Linked DNA regions of Schizosaccharomyces pombe. The protein of the gene in region 2 interacts with the protein of the main gene of each other region in a pairwise test. Each region holds a gene or a part of one and is shown on either strand. Other genes may lie near its edges.

Evidence for each region.
Region 1: the proteins of tnr3 (region 2) and mmt1 interact in a two-hybrid assay, tested with the Schizosaccharomyces pombe proteins (one large-scale study listed by BioGRID).

Annotation. Positions count from the first base shown.
Region 1 is NC_003421.2:782,479-790,320, reverse strand, and holds mmt1 (mitochondrial iron ion transporter), read left to right. Parts: upstream 1-4,174; 5' UTR 4,175-4,415; intron 4,416-4,480; 5' UTR 4,481-4,615; coding exon 4,616-4,857; intron 4,858-5,076; coding exon 5,077-5,489; intron 5,490-5,532; coding exon 5,533-6,071; 3' UTR 6,072-6,103; downstream 6,104-7,842. Other genes in the region: outer kinetochore KNL network protein, KNL-1 family member, blinkin, Spc7, read left to right, coding at 1-3,801; DNA-directed RNA polymerase subunit Rpb6, read right to left, coding at 6,574-6,727, 6,946-7,220.
Region 2 is NC_003424.3:1,312,259-1,321,109, forward strand, and holds tnr3 (thiamine diphosphokinase Tnr3/ Nudix hydrolase fusion protein), read right to left. Parts: upstream 6,721-8,851; 5' UTR 6,545-6,720; coding exon 4,835-6,544; 3' UTR 4,723-4,834; downstream 1-4,722. Other genes in the region: DNA-binding transcription factor, glucose starvation sensing, Rst2, read left to right, coding at 1-425; fsv1 (SNARE Stx8), read right to left, coding at 1,463-2,206; tvp15 (COPI-coated vesicle-associated protein), read left to right, coding at 3,841-4,239; Rho GDP dissociation inhibitor Rdi1, read left to right, coding at 7,588-8,205.

The DNA.
Region 1 (7,842 bases), on a different chromosome or scaffold from region 2:
CAATTGTCGCGTGAGACGTCTAGAAAAAGTTTGAACAGAAGAGTTTCCTTTGCTAGTCATGCACGTGTACGTTGGTATCCTAAAGATCACCAGAGTGACTCGGAAAAGTCGACATCTAATCACAGCACACCTGAGCGAACTTTTGCATCTGATGCTAAAAACCATTCCCCTAAAGGTCCAACAACGACAAGTTTTTCGAGAAACGAAACACAATCATCTCCCCATAGTCATAGTGCCTCGATTATTTCAGACGGTAGTGATATGGACATTGCGTCCCCTATTCGGTCAACCGAATCAGATATGGTCTCTGAGGCATTGAATGCTGGCCATCCGCCTCCTTCTCTGTATCCGGAGAATGATGATTTAAGTATCCAGAATCCAACAAAAGCCTTACCTGAAGCAGAAAAGGCACTTGATGTTCACGATGCCACGAGAGAGCAGGTTAATGATAGAGAGGAAACTAACATGGATTTGACTATCCAATTCCAAGAAGCAGATTCGTTTTTATCACATTCCGAATCAATTAAAGGTCTTAGCTCTAGCGAGCAAGGTACTGTTTATAGTTTAAAAGCTTCTCATGACCCTTCAAACCAAACTCAACTTTCATCCCCTAACAAATCATCTAGTCCAACTAGTATTGAAATTTCGGATTTCTCCAAAAATAACGAAAATCACGATCAGTCGGAAAATAAAGAAGAAGAAGAAGATATGATGCTAACTCGACCTATTGAAATTCCGCAACACTTTTCCCCCATCGCTCGCCCTTTAACTTCCCAAGAAGCTATTGTTGACATGGATATTACCTCTAATAACATTAATTTATCTCCAGTGTCTCATTTTTCCAATGGCTTAGATTTACAAAACTTAGAAGAAGCGCCTATGAACCTTACCCGACCAATTAATGCTAATCCTCACTTAACTAATCATTCTCCGAACGATTTAACTAATGGAGAAGAAGAAATGGATACCACCTCCGCCTTTAATATCGAAAACTCACATTTAACTCTCCTTTCCCCCATTCGTCCATCGTCACGATCCATGGAAGAGCAAATAATGGACTTGACACAACCCATTAGCTCTACAAATGCACCCACCCATTTGAATGAAGATGATTTAAATCAATTTACCTCAAATATATCCTCTTCTTCAAAACCGAGAAAGGATAATAACAAGACTGCCAATTCTTCAAAGCCCATTCCCGACAGTGAGGACTTTATGGACATTACTAGACCTTTCAATATATTATCCCCTTCTAAAGAAGCACTTTCCGAAGAGCAACCAATGGAATTAACCTCAACAGTTTTTCCTTGTGAGAATTCTACATCTCATCTTGAGGTGGAAGAAGCTGCTATGGACGAAACAGTGGCTTTTCAAATCCGTGGAAACAATGTTGAGTTACCTTCAGCAGACAAGGAAAATGCCGAGAGAGAAGAAATACCCTCATATAGTGATAAGTCAGAAAATTTCAATACTACCTCCTTTACCAACCATGAACGGTCACCAAATGGGAACAATAATCTAAAATTTTCGAAAGATCCTAACTCTTCTTCTCCAAGTAGACATGTGGTAGCGACTCCTACTGATAAGCTTGGTACTCGGAAAAGACGCTTAAGATATAGCACTTCAAGTTTTGATCAAAGTACCTTGCGTCGCAATCGTCTTGCAACAATCCGTAATGCTCGAAAATCAATTTCAACTTTGAATGACAGAGAACTTCTACCGGTTAACTTTTTCGAAAAAAAAGTAAATTCTGGTCTCTATAAATCGGTTGAGCGATCCGAAAATTATCGTCTAGGAGCTACTCCACTTACCGCAGAGAAGCCATTCACCACAGAAAAGCCGCTTTCAAGTCTTCCTGAAGAAGTTTCAAGGCAACCCACTGATGACAAAGGCGAACAAGTGTCTAATGCAGATGTTGATTCTGGATTGAGTAAAACAGAGCGACTAACAATTCAACAGACTAACGAAATTAAGCACGTTCCAACTAATACGACTTCTTCTGTTAAGCTTCCTCAACAACCTTCGAATGAGGATGAAAAAGAGCGTATAACAACTGCAGATTACGCCGATTCAACTAGTTTGGAGCGATTGGAATCTCAGGAACCCAACCGGAATGAACTTGTTCAAGTTGGTTCGTCAAATGCAGGTAATACAACTTCCGTGGGCATGAATGAACATGAGAAGTCACCCGTCAAATTATCAAAAGGTGTGAGCAATGTTGATACATCGTTGGGCGCTTCGACTATTAACACGAACATTTTGAATCAAGACTCTGGTCCAAATGAAGAAATACCTGTTGGTAATGAGCCAGAATTTGATACGATGCCAACTCTACCAAACGTCGAGCCGATAAGCCTATCAGATTTTCTTAAAATGACCGGAATTGAATTTTTGGATAATCTTACTATTGCTAAAAGACGAGAAACCCTATTGCCAAATGCTGAAGAAAATAAGAAATGCAGTATCCAAGAACTTTTGGAATCTTTTTACATACAATTCCCTTTGTTAGAGTTATACAAATTTAGTTGTCAGCAATTACAGGATTATATTGCCGAAGGGAAGGATTTTGTTACTAAAATTGAAGAGGAAACTTTGAAAGAGAACCCGTTACTATTCTATGAGTATAGGAAAGCATCCAGTGATATGAGGGTTTTAATGGATTCACAATTTTTAATGATGAAAACTTTTGCTAGACTTCAAGCAAAAGGTGATTGGTACGAATGGCGTGAGGGTTTGATGCAAGGAATCAAACATGAATTAAATTTAAATTTAACTGGGATGCAAAGAAGCTTGACCCATTTAATGGATGTCGCGAATGTTATTCATCCGTATGCGCAGGAAATTCAAGAGAGATACAATGGTAGTATTACTACAGTACAGACATTAAAGAAGCAGAAGGAATTTGCAAATCAGTATGACTCAACTCTTCTAGCGCAGGCGCAAGAAAAGTTAGAGAAACTCAAGGTTGAGGTTGAGAGGAGACGTCGGCTTCTGAGTGAAAAAGAAGAAAGAAGAAAGGAGTTGGCAATAAAGATAGAACAAGTGACAAACTCTTGCTCTGATTTGGAATTACGTACCAACGCTGAACAAGATTTTTATGCGAAAAACCAAGATTTTGAATTTGACGAAATTAAGCGATACGAGGAGCAGTTGTTAAATCTTAAAAATGAACTTGGCTGGACCATAGTTTCTTTGACCGCGGGCGGAATTAAATTAGCTACAAATAACACTGCTCTTTCTCCTTATTCAGCCGAGGTTACGGTTGAGATTTTGAGGCAAAATTTCCAAGTTAACGTTGATATTGCCTGTAAGTTCCCTAACGAAAGTAATGCTTGCAGCTCAAATGTGCTCGAGCATGTTGCATCGTCGTTTTCTAAATGGCATTCCAAGGTATTTTCTAGGAACTTACGTCTTCTGAAGAAGTATCTTAACGATGTTTCAATTTGTTGGGAACAAATTGTTTATCTTGTCCAAGATTTCCAGCGATTATGGTACCATTGGCCCTTTTTGTCAGTTGAAAATGATGATAAGTCTATTATCATAAATGTTGAGCTATACCTGCGTTCGGTATCATCTAAGGTAAAGGTTGTTTTCGGTCTCCCAATTGATACTATCTACCAAACTACTGAAGTAGGAAAGTTTTATGCTTCTACATCAGTCGCTGTGAAACAGATGTATGCGGAAAGTGAAGGAGACTCTTATGTTAGTGAGGTTTTGAATACTCTTTCGGAAGTGGTGCATTGTACATCAACTTATGCCCTTTCGTCTGCTTGTCTTACTGTTTGGAACAAATACAGCTAGATATTAATGGGAATGATTAGCTATGCTGCGCCGAAGCGACTTCCTTTCCCAATATTCATTTTGTGCTTAACGCTTGGAAATATCATTTATCCTTGTTGTATACTAGTTCATTCGTTTTCGTTAATTCACATGTTACTAAAGAAAATGTATATATTTTATGCTATTTAATATTGGTGAAATAATAATGGTAGATCTTGACTGATAATGAAATTATAAATCTTTTTGTTAAACCCGTAATGCGCTACAAAATAAAGTGTTTAGTTAATATATAAATAAACTATCCATAATTAAAAGATTCTCGGATGTGCAAATCTGGTGTAGTAAAGTTTCACATTGATCTGATAAGTACGGGATCGACATCTTACGTTCTCCTAGATACATATATACACAATCGATAGAAGAGACCGATCCTAAACAAAACAAAGATCTTAACTAATTTAAGAGAATTGGACGGATATTTAGATTTTTATAATTGAAAGTCAGACGCTGCTTACAAAATTATGAGTTTGCAAGCTCAAATTTTGCAGAATTGAAATAGGAGGTTTTTTAGATTTTTAGGCTTCGCTCGGATTATTAAGTTATCCATTTTTTATTTTTGAACACAGTTTAATTAAGTAAGTCAAAGTTCCTGAACCTCGTCTGCAATTTCTGATAAAAATATTAATACACTTAAAAATAGATTGCATCCGCAATCGAAAGTTCACAGACAGCCGGTTGAGCCCTAATTTCCAGGTTTTCTACATATTTACTTCTTTAGAAGTTTTGTTTTATATATAGATATCCCTTTTCTTGAATTAACAGTACAAAACTCACTATGCTGAAAACGTTCAATTCGTCAGCGCGCTCATGTCGAGCGATGCCGCGTTTTCTACCGACATTGTGCAGCAGATTGCACGAGAAATCTGGCTTTGAAATTCGGAATGCTGTAAGAATGCATAGTGTTGGCTCTCACACTCATACCCATGACCATGGATCGGACAAAGAAATGTTAGAGCTTGTTAAAGCTTTGAAAAAAGAAGGGAAATCTCCAGAGCTGAAACTTGCGTGGTTAGGATTGTAAGTATGGAAAAGAAAAAAAGAAAGTCATCTTTTCTTATCAATTCGGAGCATAGCGGCAACAAAGGAACTGTAGCCCTAAAGTTAGCTAAATAACTCATGATATTTAATGAGACCATTTTTAAACTGGTACTCTCTTATGCTTTCGTTCTACGACAGATCTTTTGACAATTTCTTCCCTTTATTATAGATATTCTTGACTATTAACACTTTTTATAGATACAGCAATATAGGCTTAGCAGCCGCCAAAGGTATCGGCGGAGTTGCTCTACAATCTAGCATTCTTGTCGCCGATGCTGCTCATCAATTAGGAGATACACTTTCGGACTTGGTAACATTGGCTACCTTGAAAATATGTAGCAAGAAGCCCACACAAAAGTACCCTGCCGGTTTTGGCAAATGGGAAACCATAGGTACATTCACCGTATCTGGTTTATTGGTGGCTGTATCTGTAGGCATTGCTCATTCATCGTTATCGAGATTGTATACTATACTATTCCCATACGCTGGTTCAGAACACACGCACATTGGTCATTCTCATAATCCTTCTCAACTATTGTTTGAACACCCCTTTATGGCACTTGGCCTTATATTTGGTAGTGTTGTTCTTAAAGAATGGCTCTTCCGAAAAAGTAAGTAATTTCACCTATTATTGGATTCTAATAGTATATTTAGCGAGAACGGTGGCTCAAAAAACAGATTCAAATATCTTACTAGCCAATGCCTGGCATCATAGAGCAGATGCATTGACGGGAATGGTTTCACTGCTTGCTTTATCCGGCACTTACTTTCTTAATGCTCCATGGCTAGATCCGTTTTTTGGTTGTTTAGTAAGTATTGTCGTTTTTAGTGCCGGCTTCAACTCTTCTAAAAAGGCCTTCTTGCAGCTTTTGGACCGAGCACCTTCCGAAGAGTTACGTATCGCAGTAACTGATGCTTTATTGAAGGGAGAAAAGCTTCCATATAAAATCGTTACTATATTAGGAAATGCACATGCCATGCATGTGATAATATCTGTTCCTCCATCCTTCACATCTCAACAGTCGTCCGAATTGGCACAAAAGGTAGAAAAGACTGTTTTGGATGCTATCCCTGCCCTTTCCAGTTGTATCGTGACACCACTTTCCTCTGACTCTAATCAGGTTCATAGATGGCAACACTTAAATGGGTCTTCTGGTGAACATTCGCATCCATCTCATGAGCACACTCATTAGATATTATACCTTGTAAATTTCGCAATCCATGCTTTGAAACTGATAGTAATAGAACATTTGAACATATCTGAATGATAGGTGTGTAGTAAGCAATTTTGAGTTTTCTGTGCTCTAGAATTTTTTTCAGATTAACAGTTGTACAAAAAACTCCGTGATCAATGAGTTTACATTTACACAGCTACTAAAACTATCGGAAAAAGTTATTATTAAATGCATTCATTGAAGAACGAGAGCTAAAATGCCCCAAAAAATTTTTTGACACAAGAAAAGAAGATTTCTAGAATAGTAGCACAAGCCTTTTTTTTCTCCCGAGGATAAATACGTCCCTATTTCTAAATCGTAAATTAATGGTATAGAGCTAAAAATTTAGTCCTTTTGCTTTTATTTTCTTTTCTTTACCATAGCCAAACGGCTTCGCTCACGTAAAACAAAAGAATTAGGAAAAGAACGAGGTGAATCGAACGAGCGATAGAACGTATTTGAAATTGGAACACTTCTTAAATTAAATGAGCTCCGCTACACTCCAGTCTTCATAACTGCCATCGGGTAAATATCGCCGGACTAGTAGAGGAATCTTTTTTTGTGCAAGCTCCTTCATGGCAATTTGCAAAGGATCAGTTTCACCTTCCAAATCAACTAAAACAGGTGCGTTCATACTAAAATAAAGAGTTAGAAATTAAAAGAAAGCTCAATTGAAAAGAAACAAAATTCATCATAATCAGACAATCCTAACTAGAAAATAAAAAAAAAATTTTTAACTATATCGTTTTTTTTTAAACTCCATGACTGCAAAACAGCATAACGATTCAGGACTTAAGCAATTACGCTAGTGCCTTTGTACGACGCTTTATTGTAAATCCACGCATCTACTCACCTAATTTGAAGTGCTCGAGTTCCCAAAATACGAGCGCGTTCATACTTTGTCATATAAGGAGTAGTGGTTCGGTCTTCCTTTGCTACCGCTTTACCAGATTGAGCTGTTTTTGAGCTAGCAACATCTTCAGTAATAACGGTAGTCGAAGGTTCACCAGGATGAGAGACGCCTTGCTGTGATTGCCCATTTTCATCGATCATCTCCAGTTCATCGACTTCCTCCTCCATAACAGCACCGTCCATTCCAAAGGCCTCATCCTCTTCATAGTCAGACATTTTGTATGCAATTGCCAAAGGAGAAAAGGGGGACAAGGGCGAATCTAAAAAATTGGAAGTTGACAGAGGAAATTCTCATACACCTAGTCAGCGTTCGAATTGTGAATCCGTGTTAAATCTCATTACTTTACACTACAATGCACTATTTACATCTTATATGTTTAATTCATAGAAAGATCGAACGCACGCTCCACTGAAACATTTCAGAGACTTTTTCTTTTATTATTCAAATTATTTTTTAAATCAATAATTTAATTTGATAAAATTGACTGATTGAGAGTCTATTTGTTACTATTACTTTATCATCTCTCTATAAGCATGTCTGTTACCTTTGCTACTTTGTAGAAATTAACTACTAGCTATTGTACCACGTCTCAGGTTAAACTTGTCGCATCCCAACGCATCGTTAATGAGTTCATCAAACGTGTAAACCCTCTTAAAAGGAACTTAATGTCAGCAATACTACACTACGCTATAATACACTACGTTGAGTATCACTATATGTCACATGTTCTAATTATATATCGTACCATGTATGATACGATATGGAGATTGATCTTAATGATAATCTATTAAGATCAATATTATCTGAATACTATAAATAGAGCTACTGCTGAACCTC
Region 2 (8,851 bases):
CTTCTGGATTGCCCACATATGCACATGTTAATTCGCCATTAGGAACAGAGCAATATCCATCTGAAGCTTATCCTCCAAAAGGCTATGTTGATATGGAAGGAAGAATATCAGAAGGCATCAAAGAAGAAGGCATTTCATTATCTGAAGAAATTACCGATAAAGATCAGGCCTTCGCTTCGATGGGATATTTTGACTCTTACAATTTTGAAGGCGTTGAGAATTCAAATTCATTGAACAACGAAGGGGATCAAATGGAGACTAATTTTCAGTCTGAGAAATTAGATAATTCCAATTCAATTCCTTTCTTTAATTTTAATTCATTCAATAACAATGGGGCAAATTGGTCTTCAGACTTTAATTATCCTGTATCCGAAACTTCCGGTTTGCTTACAGATAATAATCGGAATCAACCGCCCTCATTTTAATTTTTTTCATATCTTTATATTTTATACTATTTGTTTCTTAATGAAATGCATCTTTTAGTTTTTTTAAACAAAAATCAACTAGCTTTGATTCGGTTTTTAATTAATTTAAGGATTGATCTGAAGTTTTGAATATTTTGATTTGGGGTTCAATTGTTGATAGGAAAACGATCCTCTTTTACCGAATATTTAATTACGCTAAGATATGCAATGCTGAGAGGTTCACAACACATTAGTTAAGAGGGTTGCTTCTGATATTTTATTATCAAAAAAGGTTCAGCGTGATATGGTTAACAATAGCAACGGAGGCTTTATATTTAAGATGAAAAAAATGGCATTCAAGCACATGTTCCCTTAATTCTCAAGAAAGAATCTACTCGTTCAAACTTTTCCTTAATAATGATAATGATAACATGACTACGTATGTTTAATAATAGAAGAGAATATTTTTTAATGAGATGAAGGAATAATATAGCAAAACTTCTGAAAATAAATTGATACAGCTAATTGAAGATATTGTTGTTTATTGTTTACTGCCCTGAATCTAAAAATTTTGAAAGTCTAATAGGTTATTTATTCAAATGTCAAATAAGGAGTTATTAGCGAAACAAAGTTTGTAACAAATGGTTATTAAGCATTCACTCTGCATGCACTATATTCACTTGATTTAAGTCGTCAAAACTAGCTTTGTGAACAAGGGGGACGGCCCTTAAAAGAACACAAAAATGATTTCGATAAGAAATGCGCTAGCAGAAAAATAATTACTAAAGTAGAAAGACAGTCAATGGTTAGAAACTGGAATGTACGAAAAAGTTAATTTCTGTATTCCCTATAAAGGGAAGGTTCGTTTAGCAAAAGAAGTTGAAGATCACAAAAACATTTTCAAAATCGTAAAAAAAAAGTTCGTAAATATCACGGTTATTAAATATAAATAAAAGAACTATATAGCCTAGTTCAAAGAGGACGTGAAATAAAAGAATTAAGTGAAAGTGTAACAGAGTTACAGCAAGTACAATTGCTAAGTGATATTTATTTGCACCCTAAATGGAAGCCACAAGTAATAACAACGCACAAAGGAGCAAAATAATAAAGCATCTGGGATACTGTTTAGCCTTTCGGCTGACCTTGTTTAATCGATTTTTTGCATGATCAAACCTCCTCTCAATTCGATCAGCATCATTATTCATATTATCTAGTAAAACATTTTGTTCGGACAATTCTGTATTCATTGCATATCCCATCCGCTTTTGCCTTTGGACACTTGCTTCGATCCCTCCTAAAGATTCTTCTTGTTCGTTGAGCATTTGCTGATGCATTTGAGCCAAAACGTTTACGTTTATGGGATCAGGGTCATTGCCATCAACCGGATACATGGCCTCCATCTCAATATCAGATCCCTCACTACTCGAAGTCGTTTTTTGTAAAGAAGGAAGGGGAGTTAACTTATTATTCGTACTTGCAACTTGCGGGTTTGCAGAAAAGGCACTTGTTCCGTCAGCAGGAATTGAGGATGCACGCCGCTGCTTCTCAAACTCTTCCTCAGCAGACTCTAACCTCCTTTGCATTCTAATAAGAAATGCTTCGGATTCTCGTACTCTGTACTCTGGGATTTGTGCATTTTTCTCTAATCGCGATTGCTCCTCATTAAGTTTTTGCAATTCTTGCCGAACATCTTTCAATGAAGACTCAATTTCTTCATCGGGATTCTGTCCAAACTCTTCCAACTTCCTCCTGTCTCTTATTTTTTGTGAAACCGAGTCAATGATCAGAAGCAAATTTGACATAGTCGCTGGTTACTTTCTTGAGTAATCATGTTCATCATGCGCCTAAAAACACAAACATTAGTGAAGTTTACAGTAATACGGTGTAATGCCTTTGCTACCAATTCTAGGTTCAATTACAGTAAATTTTGTTTGCAGCAAAAAAAGAGAATCTTTTCGTATGTTTTAAATAAAAAAAAAAGTAAAAATGATTTGCTCATTAGCTGCCAGATCCATTATAGGCATCCTGTGAAATTATCGTATTATTAGAAACCTACTCGTTATTTACACAATTTTTTGAATGCTTCTTTTCGACTCTTCTGATTGTTTTCGGTATTTATCACAAATTTAGTAGTTCTTATTTCACATCTATTAAAAGGTAATCAAGCAAGGTGTAAGGAAAACTTTTTAATTATTGAAAGTTGGTTTGCGTAGTTTCAAAATTAATCAGATAAATTTATACAGCAAGCCCAGTATAAAAAGGGGCCTAACCAGGATTCGAACCAGGGATCACCTCTAAACTCAGCATACAAGTGGGGATTACCCGAAAGAGGTATGTTAACCACTACACTATTAGGCCTAGGTTTCTCATTACAAAATATTAATATAATATATATATAAAATAATTGCGACATAATAAATGTTAAGTACCTCTTTGCTCTGAAAACTAAAATACCAATAATGACGCTTTTCTTTTCATTAGAAGAGAATGTTTATTAAAGAAATATCTTAAAGAAAAATACTACTTAAATATTTATTTAGGAGTTAGTACACTAATTCCAGAGTATTAAATCCAAGTGTAACAAGGTAGGAGTAACAAATAGTTGTTTAATTACAGACAATTAAGTACAGTAGAAAATTACTCAAATATATACAAGGCTTTGGGCCGTTTAAAACGAATCATGCTGATATCTATATTCGGCTAATCGACTTCTTGCTTTATTCTCAGTTTAAAATGGAGTTTTTTTTTATAGCGTTACGAATTAGAAATAGATGTAGCCGTCTATCAAAGTTGACATTGCACGTGAAATTATCATTATAAACATAATCAAATGAATGGCAAAGCGATCAAAATAAGAAGGAATTTTACTACGTTATAAAACATTCGGCTTTTTATTTTACTTTATTCTTTTTTATTCAGGTGCATCTGATAATAATCGCGTGAAACTTGAGTGCAAAAAATTTTACAGCCCTGTAGATCCCGAGTGAGAGTAGATCACATATAGCTAAAGGAGCTCGTATGAAACTAAGATACAAATACATTTGTTTACGAACGTTTGACAAATATATAAATTGACCCACAGACCTTAAAATTGTCAACAACAGTTGTCTCAAAAAAAAGCCGGGTCGAAAGTACATTATTTACTAAATGATAGTGTTTTTAACTTCAAAAACAGTACAAAGAATGCTATAGAAAACAAAATGCATTTTCGATGAATTGAATTATTCATTTTCTGTAAACAACAAAAAGTTGGTTGAGAATTATGGAATTCGTTATTTTTATTTACCGTATTTCAATAGTTCGTAAATATGCATGACCGCATCGGTAAGCATAGGCAGGCTTAGTAACTTGCATTTCTCTTTGTCTTTAAGCAAACATCGACTAAAATACATATTGCTTGAAAAATTTAATATTGGTTGCATACACTTAATTCACAATGGATAAAACAAAAATGTTTAGTGCCATTAATTTGGGCGTAGGTGGTATCTTCGTTTTAAGCGGATTTATCAAGTTATTTTCATTTAGCTTCGTAAACGCTTTACTTGCATTGTTCATCATCGTTTTCGGTTTGGGAACTATTGGTTTAGAAAAGGAAATTCCTCCTATTGCTATTAAATATGGATCGTTCATGTTCTCATTCTTAGGAAGGGGCTTCTTCTACGCTTTCATGGGTACTTTACTCTTTTCTTACTCCGGGTTTACTTCTTTCCTAGGCTTTTTAGTTCTTCTTGCAGGTATCGCCTACTGTGGTGCAAACTACGTAGCAGGATTGCAAGACTACGCTCCCAGAAGCATGCGTGATAATGATTGGGATGATAACGTTGATGAAGTGTAGACTTTTTTTTATTTCTAACTATATTATTTGATTCGGTTCTTGTTCCTACCCCCCTCTTTTCCCGATGTCCTCCTACATATGATTTATTCTGGATACATTCGTTTTCTTCAGGGTAGGTGTTCTAAAAGACAGTCACTTTAGCAGTCATCCTCAGAGTAGTTAATGAGTATAAATATGTATACGATCTCTTAACTATGTATAATTTTTGTATATCAACATTAGCGTAGTAGCTATGGTATTTGTGATGGGTTTTAGGGTTATACATTCAAATACCTTTAATTGTCCAGCTTGGATTCTGAACTGTCGGGTGTATCGAGGAGGATAAAAATGACATGTCAAGCTCAACAATATGAAAAATTATGATTTTTTTCTATTTCTTCACTTTCTGAGATGTATCTTGCAGTTCAAAATGTTAGTTGGCTTTACTAAAATTCTATTTTATTTCATTACTCTAATCAATTATCTTTTTGCTTTATGACCATTACCGCTTATACTCTATAGATGTTTTATATTTTTTATATCTAAATAAATATCTTAATTTTTTTGAGCTGTTGGGAATAATGAATATTCTTTCTGAGTTTCTTACTTACAGGTCTTATAGACGTGTTTCCATTGTCCATACTATAAAATTGTTGACCTCTATAGTCACCGTTGCTTTTGTCACTACATTGCAAGAGCTGACGAGTCCTCCAAATTGACAAATGCGATCCTCAATATTCCACTCAAGGCCGCTGGTTTTTTTAACATACACACTCTGTCCTACTGGCAGAAGACCGCAATGTAAACCAATGTTGTCGTGACAATCAACATGATTTATTCCGGGTTGAAGCAAAGTTGATACATTCAATTCAGTTAATAGAAATACTTCATTCTTTTCAGAAATCGAGGCGGCCCAGAATAGATGGTTTAAATTACCAATGGCATGATCAACTCTTCCACCCATGCCACATAATACAAAAATAGTATCAATCCCATGTTCTTTAATTATTTTATGGCATTTCATAAAGTCAGTGGTGTTTTGGCATGGGTCGAATACAATGTTGACTCCCATTTCTTTATAATAAGCTTTAGTTTCATCTGTTAACGAATCAAAGTCACCAACGACATAATCCGGTTTGAGCGAAGAATCGTAATTTCTCAATTGGTTAGCACCACCGTCTGCGCAGACTCGGATACTAGCTCTTTTCCATAAAGTACGAAATCTATCATCCGGTATATCTATGGGTTGATTTAATAGTAATACCGCAAACTTTTGATCAGTATCATAGTCACGTAACCAAGCCTTACATGGAGCTAGCTGATGAGTGGCTTTTTGGGGTTTTGCAGGAACACACGTTTCAGCTTTCTTTGAAGTATCTTCAAAAGAATCCCCTCTTTCATATTTTCCAACAGGAACAGGCAACGGTCTATGTATCCGTTCTAAAGTTTGGAGATACTGAGGATGCTGTGGAGTAATGATACCATGACGGATTAAAAAGTCTAAAAGAACCAGAGCACAATTTGGCTTAAAACTTTTTAATTCAAGTTCATGAAGTACTTGATTCAATGGTAATAAACTGAAACCAGCGACTTCTCCATCATTAATTCTTGGGATAACAAGATCATCAACAGGTAAATCGAATACATATTGTAACTCGGGCTGAATCCAATGCCTTTTCTCCATTTTGATGTAGGAGACAGTGCCACAAGGAATAAGATTCATAGAAGAAACGTCCAAATTAGCTTCTTCAGAAAATTCCTTTATCATAGTGCCTATGACTGAATCACCATGAGCAATTCCGCCGGCAACGCTATTATCTAAATAATTGGGCCACGTTTGTTTAGTCGGTGATCTTCGTGGTACCCAAATACGAAGAGGATGTTCTTTAGTTGCTGGAATATACATGGTACAATGCACACCAGTGCTCAAAAAACCGAATAACCAAAATCCGCCCCGTTCAACGGCCAATACAGGCTTTTTAGATTTTCCATAAACAGTATATAATTCATTCCTCCATTGATCAGCAATTCCAAATGTATTGTTATGGCGCCAATGCTCCAGTACCTTAGCTAAGATGTCAGTTCTTTTTTCAAAAGTAGATGCGTTTATTTCAATATACTCTCCTGGAACATAAACCCAATTGAATTTGAAATTATCCGCCTTTATGAGGATTTCTAGTACCAAAGGGGTAACATATCCAATGGCAGCGCCATTTGCACGGAAGGGAATTGTTCCAGGAACAAATTCCCCATTAAAAGAATCGCATTCATCTAAAAGCTCTTCGGCATTTAATTGTTTAGCAGAGGTGATAGACGACATTGCCATTACCTTGCCCAAATTTTCCTCTCAAATGGATAGTGTTCTAAAATAAAACAGGAATAAAAAAGGCTAGTGTATTTATGCGAAGGAGACACTTATGGTTCAATTCAACATAAATAGAATAATATATAAAACACCCTATACTAGCAAATGGTAAAAGCTCAAGGAAACTGGTTCCTGGTAGTAGAAATCGGGTAGTTGACTAAAACCTTATCGTATAACGAAATGCTAATCTATTAAACCCCTTTCAAAATGATCTTTAAAAACAAAAAAGAAGTTGATATTAAACAAACAGTACCTTAATCAAGGTAATCTAGTAATTGTCTTTCAAGAGTGTGGTCTACGAGGAAAATTACAATGGGAGCAGAACTCCGTGCCAGGAATGTCTTGGTATTAAAAATAATAGCACACAGATTGGCTTACTAATTTTCACTTTAACACCAACCGCCGTTTTTGTAATTAATTAGGGTTTGGTATAGTTAAGCGTATCTTTCACATGATTTTTATTTTCAGTGGACTTCCTTCGTAAGTTTTTTAATAATAATTCCTGAAGTGATTGATAATTTTTCCGCTAAACGTATCAAATCTGGTTGTATAATAGTTATCGACTACAGCTATAACTTGCTGCTCAAACAATTTCATGTAAAGAACATCTGCCTACAGAAAAGCTAGCATAGAAAGTTCCTTCTTTTTTACGTCTCATAAGACGTCAATGCTTGGGATTACTCCAACATATTTACATGTATAAAAGCATGGATAATGACACTAAAAAAAAAATCGAAGGGAATAGAAAGAAAAAAAAAATCTTATACTTTTCTCACGCTTTTCTGCATCTCCGTTATATTTAAAATAATCCAAGTCACCGAAATGTTAACATAGTAGTACATCTGGTTATATTGTTGAGATAGCAATATGCTATGTTCCCTTTGCCAATTTCAACTCTAGAACAGTACATTAACAAAACAACGAATCTGAACTTTTTTTATAAAAACAAATTGTCCTTGGTTTAGCTACTGGCAGATAATTAAATTCTATTGCGTTGTTTTAAAATGAGTGTTAACAATGAAGTATCCGCTGATCAACATAACCCTGAACTAGAGGATGATACATTTGAGCATGGACCTCCGGTTTCTCTGGGAGAAAAGAAATCACTTAATGAATATATGAAGATGGATGCCGAAGATGAATCATTGCAGAAATGGAAAGCATCTCTGGGTATCACGGGAACAGGTTATTCACCCTCGAATGATCGTAGAACAGTTGTTATTTTAAAGCTGAGTTTACTTGTTGACGGCCGTGACCCAGTTGATGTTAACATGGAAGATGCAGCAAGTGTCGAACAAATCCGCAAGAAAGGGTTCACTATTAAGGAAGGAAGCGAGTTTAAGATTGGTGTTAAATTTCGTGTACAACACGAAGTAATTTCAGGCTTAAGATATGTCCAAACTGTTCGCAGACGTGGCTTTGTTGTTGACAAAACATCTACCATGATTGGCTCCTATGGACCTTCTGAAACACCTTATGATTTTACCTCTGAACCAGATGAGGCACCTACAGGTATGCTGGCTCGCGGACATTATGAAGCCAATGGAAAGTTTGTTGATGATGATAAAGTGGTCCATCATGAATTTGTTTGGGCTTTTGACGTTGCAAAAAGCTGGAAGTAGTCATTATTTATGCCAGCCTTATTTTTTAAAATCGTAAATTTCAAATCTACTTGGTTATTCAAAATTCTCGGTATTCAGTACTATAAAGAAATTTATAGTGATGTTTTGTTACAAAGCAAACATTTTCCTTTTTCTTACCAATTTCTTTCACATATCGGTGTCTGGACTACAATTGAATATGGTAATGACGATTTCTTACCACCTTCTTCAGTGAAACTTTACTTCACCCAAATATCTCGGATTGTTTGGAGATTGCCTTTTGTTGTGCAAATTACTTTTATAGCTTACATATGATCTTCACATATTCCCCTTTAGCAATCTACGTTGTTTCTTTTAAATCTCGTTCCAAAGCTTACAAATGCGATATTTTGGAAGGATATATACATCCGACTATATTCTTTTCACTGAAATTATGAGTTTTGAGATTTTGATTAAATTTTTCCAAGTATCTTATACTTTTCCACTTTTCCTTGTTGTCACCAAAGAAGTACATAGAAAACAATACAAATAGCTATTAACTAGCCTGATTAGTCCCTTTGATGGGAATTACTAGAATACTATTGTAACGGTAATAACTCATTCTTAAACTCATTTCAACGTATCTCGCTCGACTTTGAGAAAATCCTACATAGTGCTTGAAACTTAA